2 linked regions of the Callithrix jacchus genome follow. The protein of the gene in region 2 binds, or shares a complex with, the protein of the main gene of each other region. Links are inferred from orthologs where the notes say so. Each region holds a gene or a part of one and is shown on either strand. Other genes may lie near its edges.

The links.
Region 1: SNRPD1 (region 2) and GPKOW share a complex: the UniProt entries of both Homo sapiens proteins name them as parts of the minor spliceosome. The link is inferred for Callithrix jacchus from reciprocal best matches to the Homo sapiens genes SNRPD1 and GPKOW.

What each region holds. Positions count from the first base shown.
Region 1 is NC_133524.1:49,668,873-49,673,204, reverse strand, and holds part of GPKOW (G-patch domain and KOW motifs-containing protein), read left to right. Parts: intron 1-421; coding exon 422-576; intron 577-666; coding exon 667-791; intron 792-3,279; coding exon 3,280-3,389; intron 3,390-4,332. UniProt on the Homo sapiens protein: RNA-binding protein involved in pre-mRNA splicing. As a component of the minor spliceosome, involved in the splicing of U12-type introns in pre-mRNAs.
Region 2 is NC_133514.1:64,585,067-64,589,895, reverse strand, and holds the start of SNRPD1 (small nuclear ribonucleoprotein Sm D1), read right to left. Parts: upstream 3,126-4,829; 5' UTR 3,029-3,125; coding exon 3,015-3,028; intron 1-3,014. UniProt on the Homo sapiens protein: Plays a role in pre-mRNA splicing as a core component of the spliceosomal U1, U2, U4 and U5 small nuclear ribonucleoproteins (snRNPs), the building blocks of the spliceosome.

The sequences.
Region 1 (4,332 bases), on a different chromosome or scaffold from region 2:
GCATATTCAGGTTAATGGAGGCCACCATCAGTCTAATGAGGAGAGGAGAGTCCGAGGGGTCTGAGGGAGGGATTTTCAGAAGAGAATCAGGCATCTAGGAAGCTGTTTGGGGAGCTGGGGAGAGTCTGGGCTGAAGATAGTGATTTGCGAGTCATTGTGGAAGCCGGTCTTGGGTTTAACAGAGAGTCCAGGAATTATTTGTCGAAGGCACTGACATTTATGAGTTGGGCACACTAGGGGAGAGAATCCAAAGAATGGACGACCAGAGAGGTACAGGAGATCCAGACATGGAGTAGGGAAGACATGGTCTGTGGGGCTGGGGGTGAGTTTGGCTGTTGTGTTTTCTCTGAATGAAGGAGTGTGACTCAGAACCCACTGACCCTGCCACTCACCCAACCTCACCCCTCTGTGTCCACATCAGTGTGAAGCCCCAGGAAGCCCCCACGGAACTCATCATCCCTTTGATCCAGAGTGGCTATCGCAGGCAGCCACCAGCCCCGTCCCCTGGGCCATCCGCAGATTCTGAGGCCTTGGTGGATGGGGTGCTGTCCCAGGCTGTGAAGGAGCTCATTGAGGGTGAGTGATGCCCCTTTACCCTACCCCAGTGAAGGAAGAAGGTGGAAGGATAGGGTGGGACCTCATTGCTCCCTCCTGTTCTTCCCTTAGAATCCAAGAAGTCTCTGGAGGAGAGAGAGAATGCGCATGTCAACCCCACGCTTGCTATCCCCATGATCCAGAAAGGATGCACCCCCAGCGGGGAAGGGGCAGACAGCGAACCCCGGGCTGAGACAGTGAGCTGGCCCCTTGTCCCCCTTCTGCCCCAGCCTTTCTTTGCCCTGTCTGCCACGCTGTGTCCCTGCACGTAGCAGGGAAAGTCTGTGTGTGCTAGAGGCCCGCCACCTGCCCCTTCTCTTGCCATCCTTTTCGGAAGCATTACCAAATGAATCTGGATACCTGGATGCTAAAAAAGTACTTGAATCCTAGGATTATCTGAATGAGATGTGCAGCAAAGGGAACAGGAAATGTAAAGGCCCTCAAGGTAGACACTGCCTAGAGTGTTTGCTGACACCAAAGAGACCAGTGTGACTGAAGTGGAATGAGTGAGGGGAAGGGATAGTAGATGAAGTCAGAAAGGAGACAGGGTGCTAGACCAGGCAGGGCCTTGTAGGCCATTGTGAGGACTTTGGCTTTTACTCTGAGTGGGGTGAGAGCAGGGACAAGCCCTGAGCAGAGATGAAATATGATTTATAATTTGACAGCATCCCCCTGGCTGCTGTGAACAGAATCATTAGTGAAGGTGGAAGCAAGGGGCTTAGTCCAGGCTAGAGATGCTGGGGGCATAGACCAGAGTGGTCTGGAAGGATAAGCAGGGTTTAGTAAGAGAGGGAAGAACAAACAGAGTGAGTACTCCTGTTGGTAGCAACAGCCTAAGCAATGACATAGTAGCAGAAAATCGGTGTGGCAACTTGTATCTCTGGAGTGAATGTGAAAGAGTGATGATGGGAGGTGACAAGGGAAGAGGTTAGAGGTGTTTCTACAGAAGTAACCAAGTCTGTCTTTCATACCCGCAGACCTGACTTTTCACCTTTTCTTTCATAAATTTCTTGCACTGCTTCTTTGGAGTCTAGTTCTCCTACACCTGCAGACCACTCTCCCTTTTGACTGAACTGTTATTTCCTTCATCTTTTTTTTTTTTTAACACAGTCTTGCTCTGTCATCCAGGCTGGAGTGAAGTGGTGCAATCTTGGCTCACTGCAACCTACCCCTCCTGGGTTCAAGCAATTCTCCTGCCTCAGTCTCCCGAGTAGCTGCAGTTACAGATGTGCGCCACCATACCTGGCTAATTTTTGTATTTTCAGTAGAGACAAGGTTTTGCCATGTTGGTCAGGCTGGTCTTGAACTCCTGACCTCAAGTGATCCACCCACCTTGGTCTCCCCAAGTGCTGGGACTACACCTGTGAGCCACTGTGCCCAGCTCCTTTATCTTTAAAGAAAAAAAAAGATCCCACTTCACTCTTCATCCTTTCATCCTGTTCCAGCTTTGGCCTCATTCCTCTAATTTTTCCCTCTATAAACCTCCTCCTGCAGATTTCCGCATCTCAACTGACCAAAATTTCATCCATCCTTCCTCTCACTCAGCTTAAAAACCTTGGAGACAGCTGGGCATGGTGGCTCACACCTGTAATTTCAGCAGTTTGGCAGGCTGAGGCAGGCGGATCACCTGAGGTCAGGAGTTCGAGACCAGCCTGGCCGACACGGTGAAACCCCATCTCTACGAAAAGTACACATATTAGCCAGGCATGGTGGTGCACGCCTGTAATTGCAGCTACTCAGAGGCTGAGACAGGAGAATCGCTTGAACCCAGGAGGCGGAGGTTGCAGTGAGCAGAGATTGCACAATTGCACTCCAGCCTGGGCCACAGAGCAAGACTCCATCTCAAAAACCAAAAACAACAACAACAAAATCTTTGGAGTCATTCTCAATTCCCCTCTTTATTTCATGCCCCGTCCAATCTGCCAGCACAATTCTATCATCTTTTTTCATAATGACACCCAGAACTGACCACTTCTCACCACCACCAATACCACCACAAAGGGCTGAGCCACCAGCATGTCTCATCTGGACTATTATAGTAATTTCCTCACTGGTCCCTCTTGTGGCTCCCACCTGGCTCAGGGTCCTCTGACTTCTGCCCAGCTTTCCTAATTTAGTCTCTTCGCCACCCTTCTCTGCTCTCTACTCTCACCATCATGGTGACTTTCGTGATACTCCTCACACCTACCAAGCCTTGTCTGGCCTCAGGGCCTTTGCTATTACAGTGCTTTCAGCTTGGGACACTTTCTTCTCATATCCTCATGGCTCCCTCTGCTGTTATCTCAACCCAGTGGCACTCCCTCTCCATCCCTCTGCATCCTCTTACCCTGCTTTCTTGTTCTTTACCTCACCACCTGACACATCATGTTCTCTGTGTTTTATTTATAGTGTGTCTCCAGTACTAGACTAGAAGCTCTGCAAGGGTAGGGGTTTTTGTCTGTTTAGTTCACTGCTTCATCCCCAGTACCTAGAACAGTATTTGCCATAGATTAGGTGCTTTATATTTGTTGAAGGACTGAATATGGAGGAGTACAGTGAGGGATGGAAAGAGGAAATCAAAAGTCACCCTTGAGCTGATTGGAAAAGACACATAGCAAGTCACACAGTGGGTGGCAGCAAGTGCACTTCAAATAGAGGACCCAATATAAGTAATACTGACCCTCCTTCCTCTGCCTGAACCTGTAGGTGCCAGAGGAGGCCAATTATGAGGTGGTCCCTGTGGAGGCCTATGGGCTGGCCATGCTGCGGGGCATGGGCTGGAAACCTGGCGAGGGCATCGGTCGCACCTTCAATCAGTGAGTTCTGGGATGGGGTAAGGGGACAGACAGATCAGGCTGTGATCAAGATCCCCAGGATCACTGCCAAACTGGAACCATCCAGGCAGGGAGGGAGGATACATTATTGCCCTAACTAATTCAGCAGCTCCTTCCACTACTGTGTTTTGTTTTATTTTATTTTTATTTTAGCCACAAAGGGAGAGGAATGTTTTGTTTTGTCTTCTTTTTTGAGATGGAGTCTCACTGTCGCCCAGGCTGAAGTGCAGTGGCGTGATCTCAGCTCACTGCAACCTCTGCCTCCTAGGTTCAAGTGATTCTCCTCCCTCAGCCTCCCGAGTAGCTAATTTTTTATTTTTAGTAGAGATGGGGTTTTACCATGTTGGCCAGGCTGGTCTTGAACTCCTGACCTCAGCTTATCCACCCGTCTTGGCCTCCCAAAGTGCTGGGATTGTAGGCGTGAGCCACCACACCTGGCTTCCACTTCTGTTTTAAACTCCCATTTGGCCTTCAGAATACTGTAATAGAATCCTATTTTTATAAAGTTTGCCTCTGGGGACATCAATTTCCTCATCTGAAAAATGGGGATAGTAATACTGACTTCACAGGTCTGTTGTGTGAGTTAAATGAAATTATACATATAGGCCAGGTAGTGGCTCATGCCTGTAATCCCAGCACATTGGGAGACTGAGGCAGGAGGATCACTTAACCTTGGCAGTTTGAGACCAGCCTGGACAACATAGGGAGGCTCCATCTCTACAAAAGATTAATTAATTTTAAGAAAAGAAATTATATACGTAAAGCACATACAGTAGGTCCTGGCCCCAAGAAAGCATAGACTAAACATTTACTATTGTCATGCAGACTTACTACCCTTTCTTTGCAATTGCAAACTCTGAAGAATTCTGAAAAACAAACATTTTTTCCTAAGCCATTGGTAGCCAAACATGACCTGAATTGGTAT
Region 2 (4,829 bases):
TGAGTAAAAGAAGTTTTACAGGCCAGGCACAGTGACTCACACCTGTATTCCCAGCACTTTGGGAAGGTGAGGGCGGATCACCTGAGGTCAGGAGTTTGAGACCAGTCTGACCAACATGGAGAAACCCCATCTCTACTAAAAATACAAAATTAGCCAGGTGTGATGGCACATGCCTACAATGCCAGCTACTTGGGATGTTGAGGCAGGAGAATCGCTTGAACCTGGGAGGCGGAGGTTGCGGTGGCCCAAGATCGTGACATTGCACTCCAGCCTGGGCAACAAGAGTGGAACTCCTTCTCAAAAAAAAAAAAAAAAAAAAAAGTGTTCACATTTTTCAATACCAGGAAATACACACTGCATTTCATTGTATAAAATATTTACCTCAAAGAAGGAAAACACAAAAACCATGAGTGGGATAGGAAGGGCCTGAACCTCAGTGGTGGTATCTGGAATGAATGGAGGCTACTACAGGCAGGACAAATACCAAATATCCTTCCCTCTTTGAGCCCAGGAACCAAATGGATTCAAATTATTTTCAGATGAATCTTTTAATATCTGAATTATTTTTACTTAGAGAAACTTAGATATAAAATAGTCAGATAATAGTGTCCCTCAGTATCAAAACACACTATTTGAACCCAAAAACCAATCAAAATAGGATAACGTGGGACACGTGTATGAAGTAGGTAACATTGGCAAACTCAGCAACTTATCAAATGTCAAGAACATCAGGAGAGAAAAAGTCAAGCTCACCTCCCAGGTTTTTGGTTAGGGTGACAGTGAGGATAAGGATAACACCGCCAATGGAGATACAGAAATAAAAGTCTACTGAAAATGCAAACTAGTCAAACAATCACTTTCTGCAGGAAAAATACAGTCTCCAGTAAGAAAAAAAACTGTTTCTATATTTTACCTAAGACACAAAACAGGATTCAGTACAAGTATTAAAAATTACGGGAAAATTGTCTTAACATGCAGTATCTTTAAATGGGACAAACGGGATCCAACCTGTATTACATAAAATTGAACTATGAGTAGATTACGATTCAGCTTGGCAGGTATGGAGAAATTTCAAAAAACAACAACAACAACAACAAAAAACCACAGAGATAGAGTCTCTGTGTCGCCCAGGCTGGAGTACAGAAGTGGCGGGATCTCAGCTTACTGCAACCTCCGCCTCCCGAGTTCCAAGTGATTCTCCTGCCTCAGCCTCCTCAGTAGCTGGGATTATAGGAGCGCCTCATCATGCCCAGCTAATTTTTGTGTTTTTAGTAGGGATCGCACCATGTTGGCCAGGCTGGTCTTGGATTCCTGACGTCAGGTGATCCGCCTGCCTCAGCCTAAAAAATGTACTTTAAATTCTAGGACTTTTTTGGAGATGGACTCTCACTCTGTCATCAAGCTTAAGTGAAGAGGCACGAACTCGGTTCACTGCAACCTCCGCCTCCCGAGTTCAAGCAATTCTTTTGCCTCAGCCTCCCGAGTAGGTGGGACTATAGGCATGCGTCACCATCCTGAGCTAATTAATTCTAGGACTTCTTATCCAAAATTATAGTTCAAATAAAAATACACTAAAAATTAACCTTAAATGTCTTTCGTACCAACTCCTCCCTGAATATAATTTTTTTTTGGAGACGGAGTCTCCCAGGCTGGAGTGCAGTGGTGTGATCTCATGCAACCTCCGCCTGCCCGGTTCAAGTGCTTATCCTGCCTCAGCCTCCCAAGTAGCTGGGATTACAGGCGCCTGCCATTTTGCTCGGCTAGTTTTTGCATTTTTAGTAAAGACAGGGTTTCACTATGTTGGTCAGGCTGGACTCGAACTGCTGACCTGAGGTGATCCACCCGTTTCAGCATCACAAAATGCTGGGATTACAGGCGCGGGCAGCCTCCTCCCTGATATTGAAGGTCAGTTCATGTTATTTAAAACGTTTCGAACTAACAAACGTTATTTCAGACGTTATCTACTTTTCTGTAGTCACCACTAATCAGAAAGCTCCAACAAAGCAGGGACTTTGCCTTTTAAAAAATTCTATTACCAGCGCCTAGTATATAACAGGTGCCCATAAACTATTTAGCGGACATTGACAATCCTTGACTCAACAAGAGAGAAACGAGCTAAATATTTATAATTGCTGGCTTAGTCATGAGAAACGTCTGCCTCTGTCCCAGGTTCAGTCTCAAGGAAAAACACTAAAACCAAATCTACTTGCAGGTAGTAATTATTCACATCAGTAAAAAGTCTTCAGTACATTCACCTAACCGACCAGGTTTATTTATTTCGAAAGAAATAAAACAGGAGAACTATGTATTATCTGGATAATCAGCCACAATTACGTTATGATAGTTTCTGCCCTATAGGATATTTTCCTAAATCAAAAGCCTACCTTAACCGGAAATTGAGGTGGAATAATCATTCATAAGTCTAAGGAGTATCAAAAGATAAAAACCAGCCGGGCGCGGTTGCTCACACTTGTAATATCAGCCCTTTAGGCGGCCGAGGCGGGCGCAACGCTTGAGCCTAGGAGTTCGAGACCAGGTCAACGAAGTGAGACACTGTCTTTATTTAAAAAAAGAAAAAACTAAAACAAAAACTTGTGGAGCCACAAGTCCTTCTCCGACTTAAAATGTTCTGCAAAGAGGTGTAATTATTTCCAGATAAGCTCACACAGCTTCTAAGTACTCTTAAGTGAGACTGGAATTTCACTCAAAAAGAAAATCAGTAACCACAAGAGCGACCTGCGCCCCGGCGGCGCCGCAACCTAAAATCTCTAAATCACTAGGCGGAAAGAAAGCGCTCGGCCTTTATACCCATCTCTTGGAAAACACCCGGGATCCCTGCGCTACCCACGCGGAAGCCCAAGCCAGAGAACGAGCGGAGGGCTCAGGAGGCCGGCCGTTAGCAGGCCGCGCACACGCGGCTTTCCCGCCTCCTGCAACTGGGAGACCTCAGCCTTCCGGACTCCGGGCCAAGCCCGCCCTTCACAGTCCCCAGAGCTACTTGGTCACCCCCTCACCTCACAAGCTTCATCTTAGCAGCGCCGTCACCCTTTGGTTCCGATAGCGCACAAAATCCAATTACCGAATACTGATCGACGGCAGTATGAATGGCCGGAAGCGTCTACTCCAGGGCCTTCGGACGTAAAGAGCGCGCAGAGCACTGAGGACGCACGGCGGAAACGCCGAGGCTGCGCTGGGCCGCACTCCCTTCCGGCCACGAGGAGCGCGACTACGGCCCCTGGCGGCTGGAGGTTGCCTTGAGACGGCAGAGGGCCTCGAGGGCTTGTCTAGGAGGAAAAATGTCCTGCAAGAGAGGGAGATTCCAAGAGAATAAATCCAGTTAATAGCATTGTCGCACTTTGGGAGGCCGAGGCGGGTGGATCACCTGAGGTCATGAGTTTAAGACCAGCCTGGCCAACACGGTGAAATTCCGTCTCTACTAAAAATTCAAAAGATTAGCTGGGCATGGTGGCCCGTGCCTGTAATACCAGCTACCCTGGAGGCTGAGGCTGGAGAATCGCTTGAGCCCAGGAGGTGGTGGTTTCAGTGAGCCGAGATCGCGCGATTGCACTCCAGCCTGGGTAACAAGAGCAAAACTCCGTCTCAAAAAAAAATAGTACTGTCACCATCACGCTTCTGAACAACAGGGCACCGTGTGTACAGCACCTAATATAAATTCCTTACTGAACGAAAAGAAGTTCTGAGAGAAACTCGAAGGATTATACTGACTCTGTTCCAACACCAGGAGGTCTTTGGCATTACTTAACATACCTGAAGAAAATCACACAATGGGCTGGGGGCCAGGTTCATGCTTGTAATCCCAGCACTTTAGAAGGCTGAGGCGGGTGGATCACGAGGTCAAGAGATCGAGACCATCCTGGCCAACATGGTAAAACTCCGTCTGTACTAAAAATAAAAAAATTAGCTGGGCATGGTGGCTCGCGCTTGTAATCCCAGCTACTCGGGAGGCTCAGGCAGGAGAATTGCTTGAACCCAGGAGGCAGAGATGCAGTGAACCAAGATCATACCACTGCACTCCAGCCTGGGAGCAGAGAACTCCATCTCAAAATAGAAAGGAAAATCACACAATGTAGAGGATTATTTTCACTTTAAATTTTGATCTATAAGAGAAACTTTTCAATCTTCTTCTTTCTCATCTCATCAAAAAAAATTTTTTTTTAACTTTTTTGAGATGAAGTCTTGCTCTGTCGCCCAGCCTGGAATGTAGTAGTGCGATCTCAGCTCACTGCAACCTCCATCTCCCGGGTTCAAGCGATTCTGTGCCTCAGCCTCGCCACTAACTGAGATTACAGGCAGGCATCACCACTCCCGTTAATTTTTGTATTTTTAGTAGAGACGGGGTTTCCTCATGTTGGCCAGGATGATCTGAACTCCTGACCTCAAGTGATCTGCCTGCCTTGGCCTCCCAAAATGCAAAGTCCTGGGATTACAGGTGTGAGCCTCATTAAAATTTAACACAGACACTCCCCCTTCCTCTTTCAGCTTTCAGGATGCCAGGATCCCCTGGCCTTTTTTCTAATCTCACTAAACACTCTGGTGTTTTGTTTTGTTTTTGTTTTTGTTTTTTAAGATAACATCTGCTCTACTGCCTAGCCTGGAATGCAATGGTATGATCAGGGCTCACTGCAACCTCAACCTTCTTGGCTCAAGCAATCCTCCTGCCTCAGCCTCCTCAGTAGCTGGGACCACAACAAGAGTGTGCCATCATGCCCAGCTATTTATTTATTTAGAGATGGAGTTTCACTTTTGCTGCCCAGGCTGGAGTGCAATGGTGTGATCTTGGTTCACCACAACTTCTGCCTCCTGCGTTC